Lepisosteus oculatus: one gene and its partners. The protein of the gene in region 1 interacts with the protein of each later gene in a biochemical or structural test. Links are inferred from orthologs where the notes say so. Each region holds a gene or a part of one and is shown on either strand. Other genes may lie near its edges.

The links. The genes of interacting proteins can lie anywhere in the genome.
Region 2: the proteins of cul4b (region 1) and dtl form a complex in vitro, tested with the Homo sapiens proteins (2 studies listed by BioGRID). The link is inferred for Lepisosteus oculatus from reciprocal best matches to the Homo sapiens genes CUL4B and DTL.
Region 3: the proteins of cul4b (region 1) and ambra1a form a complex in vitro, tested with the Homo sapiens proteins (2 studies listed by BioGRID, with this or other methods). The link is inferred for Lepisosteus oculatus from reciprocal best matches to the Homo sapiens genes CUL4B and AMBRA1.

Annotation. Positions count from the first base shown.
Region 1 is NC_090703.1:50,357,215-50,364,436, forward strand, and holds the start of cul4b (cullin-4B), read right to left. Parts: upstream 3,029-7,222; 5' UTR 2,806-3,028; coding exon 2,355-2,805; intron 1,539-2,354; coding exon 1,423-1,538; intron 1-1,422. Other genes in the region: mcts1 (malignant T-cell-amplified sequence 1), read left to right, coding at 4,919-4,929, 5,449-5,601, 6,240-6,337, 6,992-7,125.
Region 2 is NC_090697.1:46,095,408-46,102,250, forward strand, and holds the start of dtl (denticleless protein homolog), read right to left. Parts: upstream 3,016-6,843; 5' UTR 2,903-3,015; coding exon 2,851-2,902; intron 2,018-2,850; coding exon 1,892-2,017; intron 415-1,891; coding exon 322-414; intron 1-321. Other genes in the region: ints7 (integrator complex subunit 7), read left to right, coding at 3,521-3,614, 5,140-5,269, 6,134-6,280. UniProt on the Homo sapiens protein: Substrate-specific adapter of a DCX (DDB1-CUL4-X-box) E3 ubiquitin-protein ligase complex required for cell cycle control, DNA damage response and translesion DNA synthesis.
Region 3 is NC_090716.1:4,948,789-4,955,658, forward strand, and holds the start of ambra1a (activating molecule in BECN1-regulated autophagy protein 1A), read right to left. Parts: upstream 3,016-6,870; 5' UTR 2,629-3,015; intron 2,340-2,628; exon of another isoform or gene 2,085-2,339; intron 1-2,084. Other genes in the region: acp2 (lysosomal acid phosphatase), read left to right, coding at 4,764-4,889. UniProt on the Homo sapiens protein: Substrate-recognition component of a DCX (DDB1-CUL4-X-box) E3 ubiquitin-protein ligase complex involved in cell cycle control and autophagy.

The sequences.
Region 1 (7,222 bases):
TGAAATAAACCAAATCAAACCATCAAAAAACTACATTAGCCTAAAATTAATGTCTGAACCTACAAAACTGATGCAGTCCCCTAAGCAACGAAAAAACCCATTTCACTCACATTATTGGTGAGCATACAAAAAGCACTCTATGAAACAAATTTAATCATGCATTCACACAGCTTTCGCAGTAAGTTATTTTGAGTATATACAGTTTACACATTTATATCTTGCAGTGGTGAGATTTCTTGAGGTCACATTCTCAGATAAAATGGATATAAGCAGCACTTAAATTCAGAATTTGGCAGCTAGTACCCTAAAGAGGTCATAGGCAAGTGATCACATCACTCCTATTCTGGAGCCGTGCACAGGTTGCCTGTCACATTTCAAGTCGATTTTAAAATCTGTCTGCTTTCGTTCAAGGCTTTAGGTTATGGCTCCTCCTTATCTAGCAAACATGGTATCGATTTCTTTGCTCAGGTGACTCTGTCTCACTGTGTTCCCACAGCTCATCTACACTTTTATGATCAACAAACTTTTTTGTTGCTATGCTCCAGGGCAGCTTGGAACATCATCCTAGCAGAAATCAGGACTTTGGGTGCTTGTAGAATGTCTTTTTCGCACGATGGTTTTATCCTCTACATTTTTGTTTTTTTCTACTGTGATATGAGCTTTTTATACAACCTACAGCCTGTTATCACTGAATATGGTGCCCTTCACTTTATTATTGAATATGGTGTCTTTAAAAGCAAACCATCTCATTTCATAATAATTCACAAGTCAACTGCACAGTAACACCATACTCTGTACATAAGCAATCCTATGAATTTAAAAGTCTCTAATCCAAAAAACATGCACACAACCATTCCATGAAACAAAAACTTACTAAAAATGCATTAAGGGCTACAAAACAGCCTCTTCCCATCAGCAATTCCAGTTTCAAAATACAAGCCATTTCATTCAACAGAATGATTACACATCCAACTTCAGTAGATTATATAAAAAGCAACAGTCCTGTATCCCATGTATAAATTCAGTAAAAACACCAAAGATGTCTGCATTCTCAATGGACAGTGAATAGGTCACAGTGAAAGCCGAAAACAATTTGCTCTTTAATCTATAACATCCACAACCCCTTTACTTGTACTACTGATGTGCTAGACGACAGCAACTGGCTGCAGTTTTATGTTAATTTCCTGTTTAATTGGGGCAATCTGATTATGCTGGTCCCGATCAAGGGCAGCCAGACCCCAGCAGTTACCAGCGATTAGTGTTAATGCTCTAAGAAATGGAATCAAAGGAAACAGTTTACCGACACGCTTGCAGCCAGGAGAACAGACATGAATTAAACCCAGTCGTTCGAATGACACAAAGCCTCGGGCTTCCTTGCACAACCAGCCCGCAGCAGGAATGGACAAAGTCTGTTTGTCATACCTGGTAGAGCTCCTCTAGGTTATACTTGATTGAAGTGCTGTTCTGAATGGCCTCCACTGCCCCCTTCAGTTTCTGCCAGGTTTCGTTGGTATAGTTTTCTGGCAATTTGGGCTTTTCTGCAAAAGAGGAGGATCGCAATGGAGAGGTTTCTTGAGGTCAGTGTGCGGGGTGGTGCTGGGGTGCTCGCCATTCATTTACAGCTCCCCAACACGTGGCCTCGCAGAATGAGGTGAGTGCAAGTAAATGACAACAGCGGCAACACGCCTAACAGGCATACAGCATGTGGAACAGAGCCCCAGAGCTCAATTCTCCGCTAAAGGGAAAGACAACGATACAGACTGTGATCTTGAAAAAGCAGGAGAGGACTTGAAAAATAGTGCACGTTACCTGCCTGTTTCATTAATATGGCTACAGACACCCACAGAGCTGTACTGTAGTGAATTCTGTACGAGTCTGTAGTAGTTTCACTGAGGCAAGTCTGCCATGACTGACAGCGTTAAGAACGAGCCATTTAAAAGGCTAGGGAGCCCCGTGCTCACTCTACTCAGGTTCCTACAACTATGCTTTACAACGTTAGAGTAAAGGCTGCCTATCTGGCATCAACAGAAGGCTTTCATAGGAACAAACATCTGAGCAAAACACCTCTGAGGTTTTACACAGGTAATCGAACCTTCACAACACTGGAGCAGTAGCAGCCCAAACCTGTTTAAATCTGCCGATGCTCTTAATTACACCACGACCAACGGACGCATTTAGAGAGGAGAAACACTTAAAAGATCTAAATAACACCTCAGTACGTAAGACGGGTGATGATTAAATGCCGTAATTTAAACTTCCACCGACTTTGAGCCAAGCACCGCTCGTCATCGCACGGTTCGGCCTGGGGGAGAGGGGGCAGCGAGTTGGCAGCGGCCGGCGTGCAGGAAGGTTACCTTTGAAGTTCTTGATCACTAGTTTCTTGGCAGCTCCGGGTTTACTGTTGGAGAAGGTGGCGGAACCGGTCGAGGTTTTGGTCAGTCCGTTAGCGTGGTGTCCGACCCCGGCGGCCAGAAAGGCGTTTTTTGCCTTGTTACTGGACGATGCAGATGATGAAGATGACTCCTCAGCCATTTTCACATTCAGCCCAATGAAATCCACGGAGTCCTCGAACCTCAGTTTCTTTTGTATGTGGTGAGAGGTGGGAGACCCGGAGGAGCAGGACGCACTGATGTTTTTGGGAGGAGACGAAGACAGGGAATCAAAGTCTTCCTTTTCGGAGCTGTTTATTTTTCTCTTTTTGGACGTTGAATTATTGCTGCTACCGTTATTACCATCAGAAGCTGCTGGTCTAACCTCCTGAGCTGGCGGTGGGGGATTAGGGGTAGATAAACCTGTTGGAAACATGAAAAAAATTACAAAATCAAATAGCCAGTCTGTTAATCCTAAGAGCCTTCAGGTTTGACGTTGACGCTCCGTGTGTCTTTGAGCTTCGACTCCTCTTATTTCACACGTTCTCGTCTCTTTTTAATTGAAAACAGACAATAAAATGAGACTACTGCTCCACTCTTAGATCCTCTTTCTTGTTATTGGCAAAAAAAAAGATGGCTGGAAACTACTTCCTCCGGGGCGCACTTGAACTCCACGGACTGAAAAACGTTTTTAACCCCATGGTCGAGTTTTCTGCCACAGAAGCCTAGACTATCCCTGGAGACTGTAGTATTCTCGAGATTAATGTGCCCCACATCTGAATACCAACTTATAATCAAGTATAACCATAGCTTGACCTACCGGAAGTACTTCCGTCTTTCATCGCAAGCATCGGGGGAAAAGTGGCCACTTGTATTCTGGACTTTAGCCCCCAGGTGGCGCCCTGACAGTCTGAACTAGTTGAAGTTTCGATTCAAGTTTTCTTTTTAAGAGAAAAAAAAACACCTTCGGGTTAGTATTATATTTTAAAAGCTATTATTTGATCACGTTTAATCTAAAAAAGAAAAGGTTACAAGTTAATGTACATAACCATTATGACGTGGAACATGAACTTAATTGCATAACCAGAGAGGTTAGGGCTAGGTTAAATAACTCAGCTACCCAAATATATATATATATCTTAGCTACCCCTGATTCATCTTTACTCAGTAAGGTTTCGTTATAATAAAAGTCTTTATTATAAGGAAGAAATATTAATAAAAAAATTGTATAGTCCTTATTTCATTCCTTTTTCTGCTGCTATTCAATACCAAGACACGTTTCGCACATCCATTCATTATAAAAACAGTCTTGGCAAGATTATTCCTGGGAGGTGTCGCAGACTCGAAGAAATGCGGATCCCTTTCCGGAAGGACAGGGTGTTAAAGAGAGACTGCTCTTTTTGAGAGGGTGCCAGCCTATCGCCTGACACAAACACGCTGTGATCGCTAAGAGAAACCAGTAAGCTGGACTGAAGGATTTTAAAAGGTGGGAGGAAACCGGCGTTGTCGAAGAAATCCAGGCACAGGAGGAACATGTAAACTTCACACAGGAGGTGCACAAGGCCGGAACCAAACCCAGAGAAAAATGTTAAATGTGTCTTAAACCTCATTTCACGCTTCTGCTTGTGTCGAATATGTACTGGATTTGGCATGTAAAGGCAAACATTCCTTGTTTTTGTAATTGTAATTATGACGTTGAAGCAGAAATGACACCACATTTGAACCATATGATAGGCGAAAAGATAGTCCGTGGGTAAGGCACAAATGGAGAACAGGACAAAGAGAGGTTGGTTACTATCATTAGATAAGTGCAAATTAGTTCTCAGCAACACAATGAGCAGACCAACCACACAACTTCTCAATAGCATGTTGTTTACCAGATAAAAAAAAAAATCATTTTTGAAAAGTATTTACATAAATAAAATACAGGGTATACATGCTAGACGCTTTTGTCCAGTGTACTTAGTTTGCTCTTAGCTCTGCGACCGGAGCTGCTATAACGTAGGTTGTATTATAGTTTGATTAGTTGTGTATGTATTTTGTAATGTTTCAGTCTTTGATTAATTATACAGGATTCATCCAGACATTTTCCTGCAAGGCAGGATACAGACCGGACTGGACCCCAGTGCATCGCATCGCCGACGGAAGACACTTTAAATAAGTGTCAGACAGCATGTCTTCGGGCTACTGAAACCAAACAAACGCACTCACTAATAGCCAAGGGGTTGATAACATAAAGACTTCAACACAAACGACTCCCACGGCGGGATCCAACTCTGGACAAGAGGTGTGAGACAGGAACACATGCCCTAAAAGGAAATCCCTCTAGAAACCGAAACTGAACTCTATGGTAGAAGCCGGGTGCCGTAAACCGATCGACGCTGTCGCGCAGTCGTAGCTCTTCTGCTGTAAAAATCGTGAAGAGCTTGTGTGTGCGGTACACTGAGAACAAGCGTGGAGACTGAATTATACTTACATGATTTACTGAAGACTGCGTGCCCAGGAGCTTCAGTTAGAATTCGCTTATTCAGCAGGGGTGACGACCGAGGATGTTTAAAAAGTTGGGTGTTTTGTTTCTTTGGCAGTGATTTGTCTGTGTCTCAATTTGCAGCCGTTGGTCTGAGCCAGTGACGTCCAGAAACATTTTAATAATAGTCTCTATGCCTTTCAAGTGTTCTTTTTTTAAAATACTGTCTTGCACCTATGTAGTGTTTTTAAAAATATGTAAAAGTCTTCTGTCTATGCGCTGTTACGTGTTACATTGTAGTAGATTTTCTTGAATTACATATGTTTTTGTGTTATGATGAGACTAAATCTTTTCTCGCATTTCAAAGCACGGGAGTTTCTAAGGAAGACAGTATATTTTGTTTAAATCCATTTTATCTCAGCTTTCTATTACCGTCATACAGGATTCTTGTTTTCTTAAAACGAAATAAGACTTTAATGTTACATAGATCCAACTCTCCAAGCTAGGCTACCCCGGGACTTGAGAAGGTGCGGTTTGCCCTCCTGATGTAGAGCCACTTACCCCCATATTTTACCGCACAGCTTTGAACCCCTCTTTGTAATCTCATTCCAGGTTTGACGAGAAGGAAAATGTTTCCAATTGCATACAGCTGAAGACGTCTGTCATCAAAGGCATAAAGAACCAGCTGTTGGAGCAGTTTCCTGACATCGATTCATGGCTTAATCAGATCATGCCGAAAAAAGATCCTGTCAAAATCGTCCGATGGTAATCCGCATACCTGAGAACCCCTGTGTTCATTGTGGTCTAATTCTCTCTAGAACCAGCAGATTTGGGCATCTTAGCTAACATGGGGAAGAGATAAAGAAACAGGTTTTACCACCTTTTAGATTAAGATTGGCTGTCTGTGACTTCTGTAATATATCTGTCTTAGACTGACAACGCCTGATAAGCAGAAAGCCTAGTTGCCTTCTGCTGTTTTGAAAGGGAACTGAAAGTTTGCTTAAGGATCATGCAGGGAAGGCTTCAGAAGGCAAAGAGGTATTGCTTACTGCAGGTTAGCACATCTGCAAACCCAATAAAGGCATGCGGGTTTTCTTTTAATTGCTCACACTCTGACGGGTCTGTGGACTTGGCAGTTATGTGCCCAGCCCAGTTCTCTCTCAGGGTGTCTGTGAGGCTGCAGGCCCCCTGCCCCATGGCACTCCCTGCCCCGACACAGCCAGCTGCAGGAGCTCTCTTGCCAGCGTGAAGGCAGACTCGCAGGCCTGAGAACCGAGCAGGCTGTGAGCAGTTGGAAGAGAGCGCCGTAGGGGCGCCGTGGACCCGGCCGCACCAGTGCGGATCGATGAGGGGACGCTTTGTGGGGTGCAGCTGCGTGAACTTGGTGTTTCGATCGTTTGCAGCCACGAGCACATTGAAATCCTGACTGTGAACGGGGAGCTGCTGTTCTTCAGGCAGAGAGAGGGCCCGTTCTACCCCACACTGAGACTGCTTCATAAATGTAAGCTCTTGGCTGCTCCTTTTCTCACGGCTTCAGAGGAAAACGGCCGGTGTTGTTTGTTTGTAATGTGATAGCAGAGCAGTTCCAGAGCTGTATGTAGGGTGAGAAGACTGAAGATTTGAACGTGGCTCTTAATTCTGCATTTTCAGTCAGTCTGCTCTTTCATGACTTTTTTGTGATCTTTAAGTGTTCCTGACAGTGATGCGTTTCCTACTTGTTCTCTTCATTCCTTCCTGTTTCGTCTTTATATCCAATGTTGTTTCTATTTAATATAAGTATTTCATGGGTGGCATGGTGGCGCAGTGGTTGGAATTTATGGGTAGCATCACAGCGCTGGGCCCTGGTGGGAGTACGCGTCTGCGTTTGTGTCTGTGAGTGCCCTGAGATGGACTGGCGTCCTGCCCAGGCTGTATCCTGCCCAGCAGTCATGGCTGGCTGGGATAGGCTCTGGCTCCCCCACCACCCTGAATTGGAAGAAGCAGTTCGAAAATGAATGGATAAATAATATTGAATGAAATGGTCTATAGTCAGTTAATCTCATGGTAGCAAACAAGATCCATAGTTTGTTTTTCTCATCCTTCATCAAATTACATATTTGACTGCTGGGTGGAGGATATTAACCTGAGTGCTTTTGTGTTTACCTTGCTCTCTTAGATCCCTTTATTCTTCCACACCAGCAAGTAGATAAAGGAGCCATTAAATTTGTCCTGAGCGGAGCCAACATCATGTGCCCAGGGCTGACGTCCCCTGGAGCCAAGCTGTACCCTGCAGAAGCTGACAAGGTAGTTGTATCCTTGGAGTGTTGTGTCCTACATAATGGAAATAGTGCCCGATCAGAAAGAAGGGGCCTGTATTCCCACCTGTCCCTGACTGTGCCCTTGGCCC
Region 2 (6,843 bases), on another chromosome or scaffold:
TGTCTTTACTAAACACCTCCTGGTCTGGTGTTTTTCTTTTGTGTGGAAAAGTGACGAGTGCTCACATCTTAGGGGACACTATTCACATCAGGATCTTTTCAGGAAGTGAAGTGTGGCAATAAGGTATTGCAAGGTATTGGAACAGGGAGGACAATGGCTCCAACAGTCGTAGTTCATTCCACTTTAGGTCTGTTAGACGGAAACTTTATAAGCAAAGGCTTGTGCTGTATGACGATGTTATGACTGGGGGGAGGGGGGGGGAATCAAGCAAAGAAGCAGAGTTGATTCAGATAAATGGAGACCCTTTCAATCACTCTTTACCTTTCAAAAGTGGACGCCTGCGTGACTCTGTGTCGTACAGCCTGACGACACCTTCTTCGTTTGCCACAGCCAGGATCTGCTGCAGGCCTGGAGCTAGTGAACAGAGACCCACGTTACAGCGACAATTATCCTGAGAAAAGTTTTCTGTGTATAACACCAGAGGAACTAACTACGAGTAACAGAATCCATTTTCACGTCTTAAATCTGACACTAAGCAATTTTGTAAAAATTACTGCTAACTCACAATTTTCAGAAAAGAAATCTCACAAGCAGATGAACTCCAGTCAACACCAAATTAATTTTACAGAACAGTGTGCTGTTTGTCAACAGCCATTAACTTGCCGTGTCTTTCTAGACATAAAAGTCCTTTAATAAGACATGTAAACTGTTCAGCTGTATAAAAGATGATGTTCGTCTTAACTCATCCTTATTTAGTTGTAATTTGCTCTTTAAACGCCTCTGATAAAGACTAAACAAAGCTAAACACCTATACCTGACATCTATATAACAAGCTTTAACATAGTTGTGTTAAAAAGTAATTTCGGAATTTACAATACATAAAAAGTACATTTCACAATAAGGTCAAATCACAAAGCCAAAAAACGAAGGAGATAAAGAATATAAAACAGTGACAATGTTTTTCAGAAAAATAAGGTTTTAGACTAGAATTAAAAGCACTAAAATGTTGCTGCATTACTCATAGATGGTATTCCAGAGCATAGCGACAGAATGTGGTATCACCCCGAAAGTGTAGATGAACCACAGAAACACCAAAAAAGATCCAAGTCAAAAAGAGTGGAAAGGAGGAAAAGGGTATAGATACTGACTAGATACCAGAGGGTCGCACCATGTAGACTAATGAAGGTAAGAAGGATTTGGAAATTAACAGGAACAGGAATCCAAACACTCCAAAACAGGAGTGACGTGACAAGATCATTTGTAAGTGACCTAGTCGGGATTTAGCTTCCGAATTTTGAACCTACTGTAATTTAAGAGTAGCCTAGAGATTCCTGCACAAAGAAATGCAGAAACATCCTCCCCAACCCCCTCTAAAGAGCGGACACCTTAGGAGGTAACCTAGAACATTTCTAAGAAGGAAAAACAAGCACTGTGCATAAAGCAGTTATTTTTTATTTAAATTATTTTTCCTAATAATTATCCATTTGTTTTTCTCTTGAGTTTTGTTGGGTGCAAGGTCACATTAAAGACGCAAATATGTCTGACATAATTTTTCTTTGATTTCTGGCTTTACATCACAAAAACCTGTAATTTCAGTAAGGGTGTGTAGACTTTTTATATCTGCTACATGGGTTTCAAAATGAAGCAGGATCGAAGATAATCCCCAAATCCATTCTTCCAATTTAGAACTCAAACGAGGTGCCCTCAACAGGTAAAGCTACAGAGTGGGATTTAAAGAAAAAACCCAGTCACGTTACTGGATTTAATATCAAACCAAATAAGGAAATGAGCAAAAAGTGAGGATTTAAGATGAGGGCGATTTATTTCAATCCACATCATATTTAGCTTGTAACAGGCTAAAACACAAATAGACTTTTTGGCGATCCTCTACCTGTAGAAAACGTGCATCCGAAGGGAGGAACTGGAACCCCCATATCGCCATACGAGATGTGCTCATCTTGTCTAGCACACTGGTAACAATCTAACAGGGAGGAAAGCGGATACACACGCTCCGGCCCTGTAAGGGAAAACAGTGTTGAGAGTTCATTCATTCTTGTTAAATTAAGCCCGCGCGACCGCTCCCGTCCACATCTATTCATTTAAAAAACTCCGTCAGAGTGTAAGTTTCTACGATCTACTTCGTACGCGATTTTGCTTAAATCCTTTAAAATATAGTTTAACGTTAAATAGAACAGTTAAGAGTTTCATAAATAAATTCAATGAATCCTAAAAGTTTCATTGGTCTAAACGCCGTTTTACAGTGTGGCCTCTGTTTTAGAAATACTGATCGCATTGATAAAAGCTTCCGTGTCCACATCGCGATCACCAATATCATCAATATAATGGATTTTGGTATTGCTTTCTCGAAACCGATGAGTTAAGAAGCTGATTTTAGATGGTTTCACACAGAGAAAAACCGAAAATGAATCGTATTGAAGCGTGTTTCCCACCCAACCCCCTCATCTTTACATTTTAACACCCCACCGTAGAGGAAGAAAGAGCACCATTTTGAGCAGCAAAAGCGAATCCTTTTACTTTAGGAAAAATAAAATGAATGAAAAGCACTTTAAATATATTCATCCGCGTTGATCACCTCATAATTAGAAGATAATGGCATAAATAGACACAAAAGCTAATTTCAGAACGCCCCCCAAAAGAAACAAGTTAAACAAGAAATGGTCGATCTTTTTACTTTCTCTCTTTAAATAAGTCTTGATTCAAATACTATGCAAGGTATTTAAGAGGCAAAATGTGAAGATCTAACGCATTCCTCCCCCAGTTTTGAAGATTAATTGACTAGAGAGCCAGTACTCTATATTAAATCATCACCTAGCAGCTAATTTAACTTACCATTGTGCCTCCTTCTGAGAACTCCTCTATCAACAATGGAACGAAATAGCATCTTGCAATTTGTTATTGTGTTTAAAACTCAATTGCAAATTAAATGGATTTAAATTTCACAATGCAGCACCACTAGCTGTGTATCTCTTCCTAATGAAATACACAAGTACCCTTTCCCGCGAACTCAGAAATGAAAAAAGAATACGAAACACCCGCCTAAATGACGTTTCGCTACATGATTGGTCAAGAAAGCACAGAGTGGTCAGACTCCACCCACTCTGCGTAACAAAGCGAGTACCAGTCAGAGATACCTGGATCCAGATTAACTACTCAATAAAGTACAGATCCCAACCCTCTCCCATAACCTACAGAAAATATTACCTCCTCAAACAGGTACCAAAACTTCCCGGTCATCTAGCATTTTGAATATCCACTGATGTCACGTTATTGCGCCTTTCTTGCGGCCTAGTGGCGGCAGCACGTTTACGTCATGGGCGGGTAGTCGAGTGTTTATGTCACTTCCTGCCGCTTTGCACTGCTGGGATGTAGCAGTTTCTTTTGTGCCATGTATGCAGTATGATTGTGTTTTAATTGAAAAGTCCTTTTTAAAATCAGATTCTCAAACGTATATTGTAATAGAGAAAATTGTTGACTATATTTGACTTTCAGTCTAGGAATCATGTCTTTAACAACGGCGCGATCATTCTTGTCAGAAGCTGGTTACGGGGAGCAAGAATTAGATGCCAATTCTGCTCTGATGGAGCTGGACAAAGGTAGTTACACACACCTGAGTAAAACGCGTGCAATGCTTTGAGCTTCGAGCTGTTAAAAATGTAAGAGGTCGTTCATGGGTGCTGCTGTTCTGTAATAAAAATACTTTGTTTTGGTGGATTCATGTAAACACCAGCCTAGGCCGTTTTGGTTCTTCCGTTCCACTGTGACTCTGCTGCTCACAGTATAGATTAGGCAGTTAAACTAATTGTTGGATCAATGATTAATCATTTTACTGAGAGAGACGAATTTGTTCAGTCCTTATTATTCAGTGATTGCTGCGCTATATGGTGTAATCTAAATCGTAACATATACAGTATATTATGTATATACAGATAGTAGACAGAATATGCACAACCCAGTGGAATGAATGCACGAATGTGCCATGCAATTCTGCAGAAGGGATGCAGCACCATTCTTCCACGAGAAAGCCAATCAACTCTCACCTGGTTAATGGAAGTGGAAAACACTATCTCACCCCACGGTTCAGAATATCCCATAAATGCTTGGTAGAGTTTGGATCAGGTAACAGAGAAGGCCATGTGATGTGGAAAACAGCAGTGTCACCTTCATCAAAACACTGGGTGACCACGTGCGCTAAGGGCATTGACATCCTGGAAGACTCCCCTCCAGGCAGGGAAGAAATTCTGCAACACAGGGTGAAGGTGATCACTCAGTGCCATTAAGTAGTGGTTACATTAACCTTACCTTCTAAGGGAAGGAGTTCACCTAAACTGTGGCAGGAAAATGTACCCCTTAACATTACTGTACCCAGGGCTGTAGAGTTCTATAGGATGGTGCCAAAAATGGTGAAGAACGATTTATCTAAACAAATGACCTTTTTCTAGTACTTGATAGTCCATTTGCTGTGCTCTTTGCACCACTAGTCTTACAGGCGTGTGTTACAAGAGGTAATGAGTGATTTGCGCTGTGCAACCCGTCTAAATGATCCTGCTGTGTGGATTTCTCAGCATTTCTCTTGATTAAACTGGCTGCTTGTGCCCCAGGATGAAATTTGTAGTTCTGATTAATGCTTGGATATTACCATCCTGGAGTATACTGACCCATTGTTAGGACTGACCGAAGATGTCTTTTCTATTGGGTTCCATGCTGAAATCAGCTTAGACACTATGACTCTTGATCACTTAAGTTTCTGCTAAACACCCCTTCAAAGTCACTGATGTCTCCCCTTGAAGTTATAATAAAGGCCAACCAGGCCTGTCCAGCATTTCTATACATGACTCTAAGAACGCTGGGTTGTTAATTGCTTAATTAATGTAATGAATGAGTTCTGTTTTTCCTCCATTAGCTGTGTATTTCTGTATATGTCATTGAATCATATATACATACACTAAATCCTTTTTAGATCCTGCACCAATCCTTGTAAAGACTGCAAGATTGTTGTATCACCTGAATTCTTTCATCTTAAGTTATTTACTGTATGAAATCCTAAGTTGGAGTCTTCAGATGTGCAGCAGCACAGTTTTTTTACTAACCAGTATTGTAAAAATCGTTCCCCCCCTGAAGGGCTGCGGTCCGGCAAGCTTGGAGAACAGTGTGAAGCTGTGGTGCTCTTTCCCAAGCTGTTCCAGAAATACCCGTTCCCTATCCTGATCAACTCCGCCTTTCTGAAACTGGCAGACATCTTCAGACTGGGGTATGTGTTGAAATGAGCTCCCCTCCAAGCACAGCACTTCGTCTTTTACTGCTCTGCTTAACTGAGTTGCTTCTTAGGGTTTCTTGCTAAATTGAAAAAAAATCAAACAATTTTTGCATTTAGTGTGATTTTTCAGGCTGTTTTAGTTTTTGCATGCCTCAATGGAGAAGGTTTTATACAGTATGGCAGCATGAACTCACCATGTTCTGAAGCCATGCAAAACGTAACTGGTGATCAGTCACAGATAATTTGTTAAATTAAGTAGTATGAAGATTATTGGGAGCAAAACTCTTCAGTCCTGAAGGACAAGTGTTCCTTTAATTGGAAAAATTACTGGCCTAATTGAACAAAAAGTACAGGTGGTCCCAGACTTTAGAAATTAGTGATTTCGGAATACTCAGTGACTTCTGCATGGTAGTACAATGCTACTCTACGAAAGCTGAATTTGACATTACAAACAAAATCTAACAGCATCATTTCTGAATGTCACCTTCGTTCCCTTGAATTCCTAAGAGAAGGGGTCGTCTCTTTTGTTTCCTGTAAAATTTTGAAAGTGCAGTCAACAACAGGGCTCATCTGGCAGTCACAGTTTATTATTATATTACTTACATTCCAATGAGTCATTACATGTTTTTCAAAAATAAAAAGTAACTTGTGTTTTTTTAGCTGAATGAGAAATGTTATCATATTCCTTTCTGACTTGTTTTAAAATTCTGTAATGTTAAAACCCAATTGAATGTGATACTAGGGTGTATGTCACAAACATCTACTTTTTAACCATCTTAAAATAAGATGGACCCTTAGTTTTTGTGTTTTTATGAACAGTAGGCATTATCTCCCAATTGTTCTGTCTTTCTGTCACAGAAACAATTTTCTACGGCTCTGTGTGCTGAAGGTGACTCAACAGAGTGAGAAGCACCTGGAAAAAATCTTAAATGTTGATGAGTTTGTCAAGAGGATTTTCTCCGTCATTCACAGCAATGATCCAGTGGCCAGAGCCATCACTCTCAGGTACCGAGAATTGTAAACGATAATTAAGTAAGAATTATATAATTAAAGGGATCATCAAACATGGCCTTTTTCCAAAGAAAGATACCAGAGCAAGCCTGTGGATCAGTTACATGACACTCAGAGATCCCTCACTAAGGCATTTGTAACAAGAAATTGCTTAGAAAAGTATGGCAGATACTGAGTTCCTCATGGTGTGGCGCAGGGGGTTAATTTCCACATGGAGTTTCTATGCTCTCCCCGTGTTTGCGTGGTTTTCCTCCGGGTGCTCCGGTTTCCTTCCACAGTCCAAAGACATACTGGTAGGTTCATTTGGCTTCTGGGAAAACTGGCCGTGGTGCGAGTGTGTGCATGTCTGTGTCTGTGTGTGCCCTGTGATGGAGTGAGATAGACTCCAGCTCCTCCCACAACCCTATACTAAATAAATGGATAGGGAAATGGCAGTAATACACTCTGTGTGCTGAATGATATACTATAATAAGGGTTTTCCTTGTCAAGTGATGATTGTATCCCTGTTTATGCCTCTTGTTTCTGTTTTGGTGATTTTTTTCAATGGTGACTCGAGT
Region 3 (6,870 bases), on another chromosome or scaffold:
AAAGCATGTGCTTATCATACAGCAGAACTTAAAAGGGAATACACTGATCATCAAAGATGATTACAAAGTCACCAGTGTGACATGTGAACATGTGGACCATGTTGAACAGATTGGTTATGATTTTGAAAAAAAGAAGATAAAAATGGTTGACTCAATGCCTGTGATCCAGATGAGACTGGACTGTTGTTGTGACACAGTACAGTTTTTCAGATGTACTGATGACTGAGATTCTGGGTAATATTCCTCTGCACTGGCAGTGAAACCATAAGCAAAAAGGCATGTTAAGATAATATACGGGCAATTTGCCTGTGTACATGCCACTATCACAGAGTTTGCTGAAGCCCGCAGAGGGTAAGCGAGGTTGTTCTTGGAAACTTGTCTGTTTGGCAGAGAGTAATCCTGAAGTGGTCTGCCAGCATCTCACGCAATAATCCAGCAAATTGCATGGCTTTATGAACAGCTCTGGGCTAAAAGGAAAAGACACACAGTCCCCTAATTGGATTTACAACACATTGATAGCCCAGACACCTTCTTCAATCCTTTGGCTGTTATATCTTTTTATTTTTTAAACCCACTACGAAGCACACAAAAGTGCCACCCTAATCCTTTCCTCCACCAATACAAGAAATAAACAGCTAGTGATCTAGTGATTTATACACAGCTCAGCTTTGAATCAGCTATAACAAAAGCGATTACCACAAACCCAAGTACGAGCAAAACTAACCCTTAATACCAGCACACAGTACAACTAACTAGTTTATTTTCTAAGTAATGGTCCGAACACACTCTTCCATATAAGCACAATACTGACCCCATCAATGGCTAGAAGAGTGATTTGGTGTAGCAAAAAAAAAAGCACATTTATGCTCACCCTATACATTTGACATTGGGTTCGCATTGAGTTTCTTCCTCACAAAATATATAGTATATTAGGTGATAACACCGAGATTTTTTTAAAGGAAATGTATTCCATGATTTCATAGTACATTTAGCAATAAACTGAACCGCACTGCACATGATTTAATATTTTGTATTTCTATGTACGGGCAAATAATTATGCAAACTATTTTAAATTACTTCTGATATGAATGCAAAAGGACCGATTTTATGCACACCTGTCAAACTTAGCACATCGCCCATGGCGTGCAATTCGTTACTTTTTTGCCACGTATATGTAACGATGGGGCCTACCACACTATAGTGCCTTTCACACAATCTCAATCTCGGCACAAATGTAGCCTTTAAATGTGCCGACAAACTTTGGCAACACGTCATGACACCAAACAAAAATGAGGACGGAGTTTTTTTTTTTTTAAACGAGTCAAGAAACGCAGAACGTTTTAGAACAGCTTTGAGAGCAACGCTCAAAAAACGAAAACTTGCATGCACTACAACTGCGCAAAGCACAAACAACGGCATCGGATCGTGATCTAAAACAAAACAAATGCGTGATTCCCGATATGTTTTAGCACAATTTTAAAAAGAAATAAAAGCAGGGAAGTGTTATGCTGGGTGTTCCTATGGTTTGCTATACGAGAGGACAGTTGAAAGGAGTGATAGTGATATACCAATTCACTTCACCCACGAGCTGCGTATTTATTACATCAAAATTAAACTGGAAAACTATCAGAGACAGTTGCACAACATGGTACAAAGAAATCAATTGTGAATACGGAGTCTTTAAATTCCAATACAATTGTTCAGTTGTGTCTCCATTCCACAGTTAACTCGTGAGCACCGCACCAGCTTAGCTCTCACAACACTTATCTAATTCTAGCCAGAATCGGAAATTATACACCCTTCATAAAAATGTCATTTGAGCTCAACACAAATCAGAAAAGATATCGCGATTTAAAGGGAGGCGTTTATTTTTACATTTTTATTTAAAAAAAACTTCCAACGTCAACAGGAAAATTGGAACAGGATTCCACACTCCTAAAATTTCCTAACTGAATCTAAAAAACGATTCTAAATCGCTCCCGGTGACACAACACTATATTATCATTAATAATACACGCAAACGGCCATTAAGATATGTTTTAAATAAGGAAATAACACAAACACACCCGAAGGCCTAGGCCTACCTTTTTTTTTCCTGTATTTTTGTTGCGAGTTTCTCCAAGACGCAGGGTACCTGTAAATGCAGCTAAAATCTCTCTTCTGATACGACTGGATAAAAACGGGTTACCCTGGCTTGCATTGATTATATTAATATCGACTGCGGCAGCGATTTTAAAAAATGTTTTCTTAAAAAACATTAAGGTTACAGCTTGTGCACACAGAACACAAAATACATTCAAATAGGCAGCCAGAACAAGCGGCTCACAGATCAGCGATATCTAGCTAATCGAAAACCGAGAGCATGGATCGCTCGTTGACGAGGAGGGTTCACGGCTCCTTGCAAAAGTATTCAGCCCCTGCAAAAATTCAGCATTTTGATTAATGCAATTTTCTAATAGAATCAAGCTCTGAGTCTGCCCGTACCACACAAGGATATTCACTCTCTTTTTGTCAGATCATTTCAGGTTTACAGCCTTGTGCCTCGGGTTATTGTCTTGGTGAAATGTGAATTTTTGACCCAGTTTTAGATTCTTAAGTGTCTGACGACGGGTTTCTTTTGGGATTTACCTTTACTTTGCACCTTCCTTCCTGAATCCTGGCATGTTTCCAGGAGTCTCTGCTGATCACAACTATCCTCAAAACACAGCCCTGCCACCAACGTGCTTGACAGTTCTGATTGGGCGATGTACTCTGCTAGACGCTATACTTTGTTTTCGGACATAAATGGACGTTTTTGCCTCATTTGACTGTAAAACCTCCTGTTGTGTCTGTGGTATCTTTCACAGGAGAGTGAAGATCAAGTGTTTTCAGTACACGCTTCCTTCGTGCTTCTTATTCATAAAGGCCTTGCCTAAGGACTGGATATCGTCAGTGTATGATTAGCGACTCCCATCTCAGACTCGGATCTTTGTTAAGTCTTTCACGGTCACTGATAGCCCCACGGTGCCTCCGTAATCCCTGTCTACTGGCCTGCTTGTCCAGCAGCTCAGTCAGAAAGGGCAGCCCGAGGTGGTAATGATGTAGCTGACGATGCAGATCTGTGCATTTTTATCACATTTCGAAAAATATTCAGGGATCACAAATATCTTTATGCACAATATTAATATATAGGGGGATAAATCGGGTATCGTCATAATGTGAGCTCTCGAAGCATACGCGGCGACGCGTACTCGCTTTAAATTAAATTATATTTTAATCCCAATCTACTGAATGCACTTCATTGCAGTTACTGTACTGTATGTTAACGTGCGGTTGATGGGATGAGAAAAAAATATTTAATCTGTACAAAATATACTGTACATACATCGTTGCAAAATATAAATCTGGTAGGTTGTAGCTAATAGAAGTACTCAAAAATGAAGCACCAAAAACAATAAAAAGCAGAAATAACATACTTATACTAAACTTTGGCGAATTAAGTTTTCCTTTGATTTGTGTACGCCATACGTCGTGCAGACGCCTTCTGCATTCGGCAAGTGTTTACCATTTTAAATTGGTATGAACAGAAAGAAAAATATTTTTCTTTGCAGTACATTTCAGTGTTGTATTGGTGTAGGCTTTTTGTTTCCTTCTTTATAGCTGAGGGGGATTTTGTGTTTGTTAAATAAAACGAAATCCCCTTGATAATGTGCGATTGATTGGATGTTTTTAACATAGGGTAAGGGGCGGACAAATATGTATTTTTGTTTGCTTTAAGGTAATAATACATTTGTTGTGAGAATACCGTCGTCGATAGCATTTGCTGCGACGCTAGATTGCACCCTTTCTGTTTGGAGAGCGGACAAGGGTCATTCAGTCACGCTCTTACAACAAAAAATAGCCATTTTACTCAATACTCTTTATTTACATATCATTTACTATATCAGTTATCATATATTTGCTCACGAAACAATTGCAATTTACCAGGTGAATGTTATACAAAATCAGTAGTGCAATTACATAGAAGACAATATACCACTAATATATTTTGTGTAATTTTGGAATTTCTTTAATATAAATTATAAATCTGTATAAAGTTCATATGTAGCGGTGCAAGAGAAAACAATATTAAGTCTGCTTTGTTTGTTTATAATGGTTGCAATACAAAATAAGATGTTTGTGCTGTAGTGTTAAGGCGATCCAATGCTTGTAACACTAGGACACGAAATATTATTATTAATAATAATAATAATAATAATAATAATAATTGCTTACACTTATATAACGCTTTTCTGGACACTCCATTCAAAGCGCTTTACAGGTAATGGGGATCCCCTCCACCACCACCAATGTGCAGCCCCACCTGATAATCCATCTAATAACACAACATGCATCCAATCACATTTGCAGTTAAGCCCATAAATACCAATACATTTATCGATTAATGTACCGAAATTTCAAACTACCTTATCCAGATATTTTAATATTATATATAGTTGAGAACCTTTTAATCTGCTAATCAAAATACTTCTAATCTCAGTTCACACTAGCCTTGCTTTCGCAATATACGAACCGGAACTGCCGGCATTCATTCACTTCCGCCCTACCAACATGGCGGCAAATTTACATACGATTGTGACGTTACATCGTAGATCACTTCTATTTTCTACGGTATGAATGGACGCTTCGTAATGTGACGTAAACACGTCGGCCCCTCCCTGTGCCGTGACACCCTTCGGTCCCCGGCCGGTTGTTTTTTTTATTTTCTCCTGAGTGGTGCGGTGATGGCGTGTGGGGTCCCTTGTTCCTCTTGGTCTGGCAGGTCTCTGTCTCTTGTCGTGCTGCTGTTAGCAGTCTCGATCGTACTGCACACGGCAGTCGGAGAAAGGCAACTGAAATTCGTCACCCTGGTAAGCCGGTGTCCCTGGATTTCGATTAATAACTTGGTCGGAGGGTAGTAAAGAGTGCAGATCCGGTGTGCTTTGTGTCTTCAGGGTTATCGATCTGTGCACCGTCCAGCTCGCCCTTGTGTCGGCGAACTGTCCTTTAACACAACATTTAAGGCGAAGTTTCATGGAAATCCGGGTGCGGCGTTTTATGCAAATAATATTCAGGCTGCACTGATCCTGTAAACGTAAGTCAGAATAAAAACATGTCATGGTTTCGGTAACGCACCTGTGCATGAGAAGAACTTTAACTTTGCCAATATAAATAATGATTTTTCTGTCGTCGTATTTTATATTCTTATATTGTTTTTCATTACTATCTGTTTCTTCTTGCTATGCACTTGCTGTAATTTAAACTCAACATAACGTTGGATGAATCGAGTAAACCTGTTATACAACGAACTGCGTAAATAGTAATTCCGTTGAGGGAAAGTAAACAAAAACCGTTTAATTGTATGCAACTCTTTAAAACACATTGAAAAGTATATGGTATTTTCGAGGTTCTGGTATTGTTCAGCAGGGGTCTCCCTCCAATTCAGTTTTGGGTCATCTTAAATTACCTGTTTTGTTACAGAACACTTTTTATGGTCTTGTGTTTTTATGGAAGTTATTGATTCAATTAAGGGAAATTGTCTTTTCAGAATGGGTGTTCAGATGTCTGTTCTGAATGATCGCCATATCACTCAATAAATCACCAGTTTAATTGATCACAATTAAATTGTATTTGGTCTTTAGAATTTGATGATTCAGTGGTACCATATAAAACCCGGAACATTAGCATGGATCATGATCAGGGGCATAGACTCTCTGTGTTTATTGCAACATTCGCTACAGTACATTCAGTACAGTGGAACTCAAGTTCCACAGTTCTTTACAAAACTGCAATTTATGGGTGAAGCAAATGGGTGCTTCTTGTGTCTGTGCGTTTTGCAAAAAGCAGTCAATAACAGTGGCCTTTCTATACTGAAATGCAGAATAAGTCATGCACAGACACAGTCAAATCTTTAGTCACATTGAGTCACTTTAAGTATGGTGATGAGTGTTACTGTCTGTCAGATAAACTGTAAAATATCTGCATCCATAGGCCTTACATTTGTGTTTGTGTTACACTCTGTAACGTGCTGACATGGAGTAAAATCTACTGTCTGTGAATATTCTACCTCAAGGCATGAATTCTCTTTTGTTATTGTTCTGCCTCTTCTGCTGTTACCTGAATTACCTGATTTGGACCCGGTGTGGTGTGCTTGCTAACATTAACATGACACAGAATGTGAGGTTATCTGATTGAAAACAATTTCCACACAACACAGCAAGTACACACTGATGAAGCAGCCCTCCAACACACACCATATTAAACAAAAATCAATGAAATGGGGGAAAAACACAGTCACATGCACATGTAAACATTAACCCTACTTTTGGCAAACAATTGTAAAAGATGCTGAAGGTAATTAGCTGAAGGGGGAGAGTTCAAAGTTCACCTGGCAGTTGGAAAGAAGCTAACGTTGAAGCAAGCAGCACCTCAGAGGATCGATTGAAAGCATTTTCCCAAAGGCAGGAGCTGAAAAAAGATTCTGAGCTGGTCTTGTAGGCGCAGCTGAAGGTATGGCTTGTGTAAAGGGATGAAATGGAAGAGAGTTCATAGCCTATTTTCGCAGTTTTGGTCCCTTCCAGTTTCTTTTGTATGGCTGTACAAGCTCCCCATACCAAACCGATCAACCTGTCACAATACTTTGAATTCTGGCTGTGTCAAACTGGGGGAAGAAGTTGGGGGCTCACTCCGTGCTTCTTAAGCAACCCGAGAAAGTACCTCCTCTGCTGCACCCTCTTCACTATGTGATCTGTGTTGGTGCTGCCTTTGAGGTTTTCACTTACGTGTGTCACCAGAAATCTGAAGAAATTTGTCACCCTATGTGACCATTGGGGGGTCATTAATGATGATGGG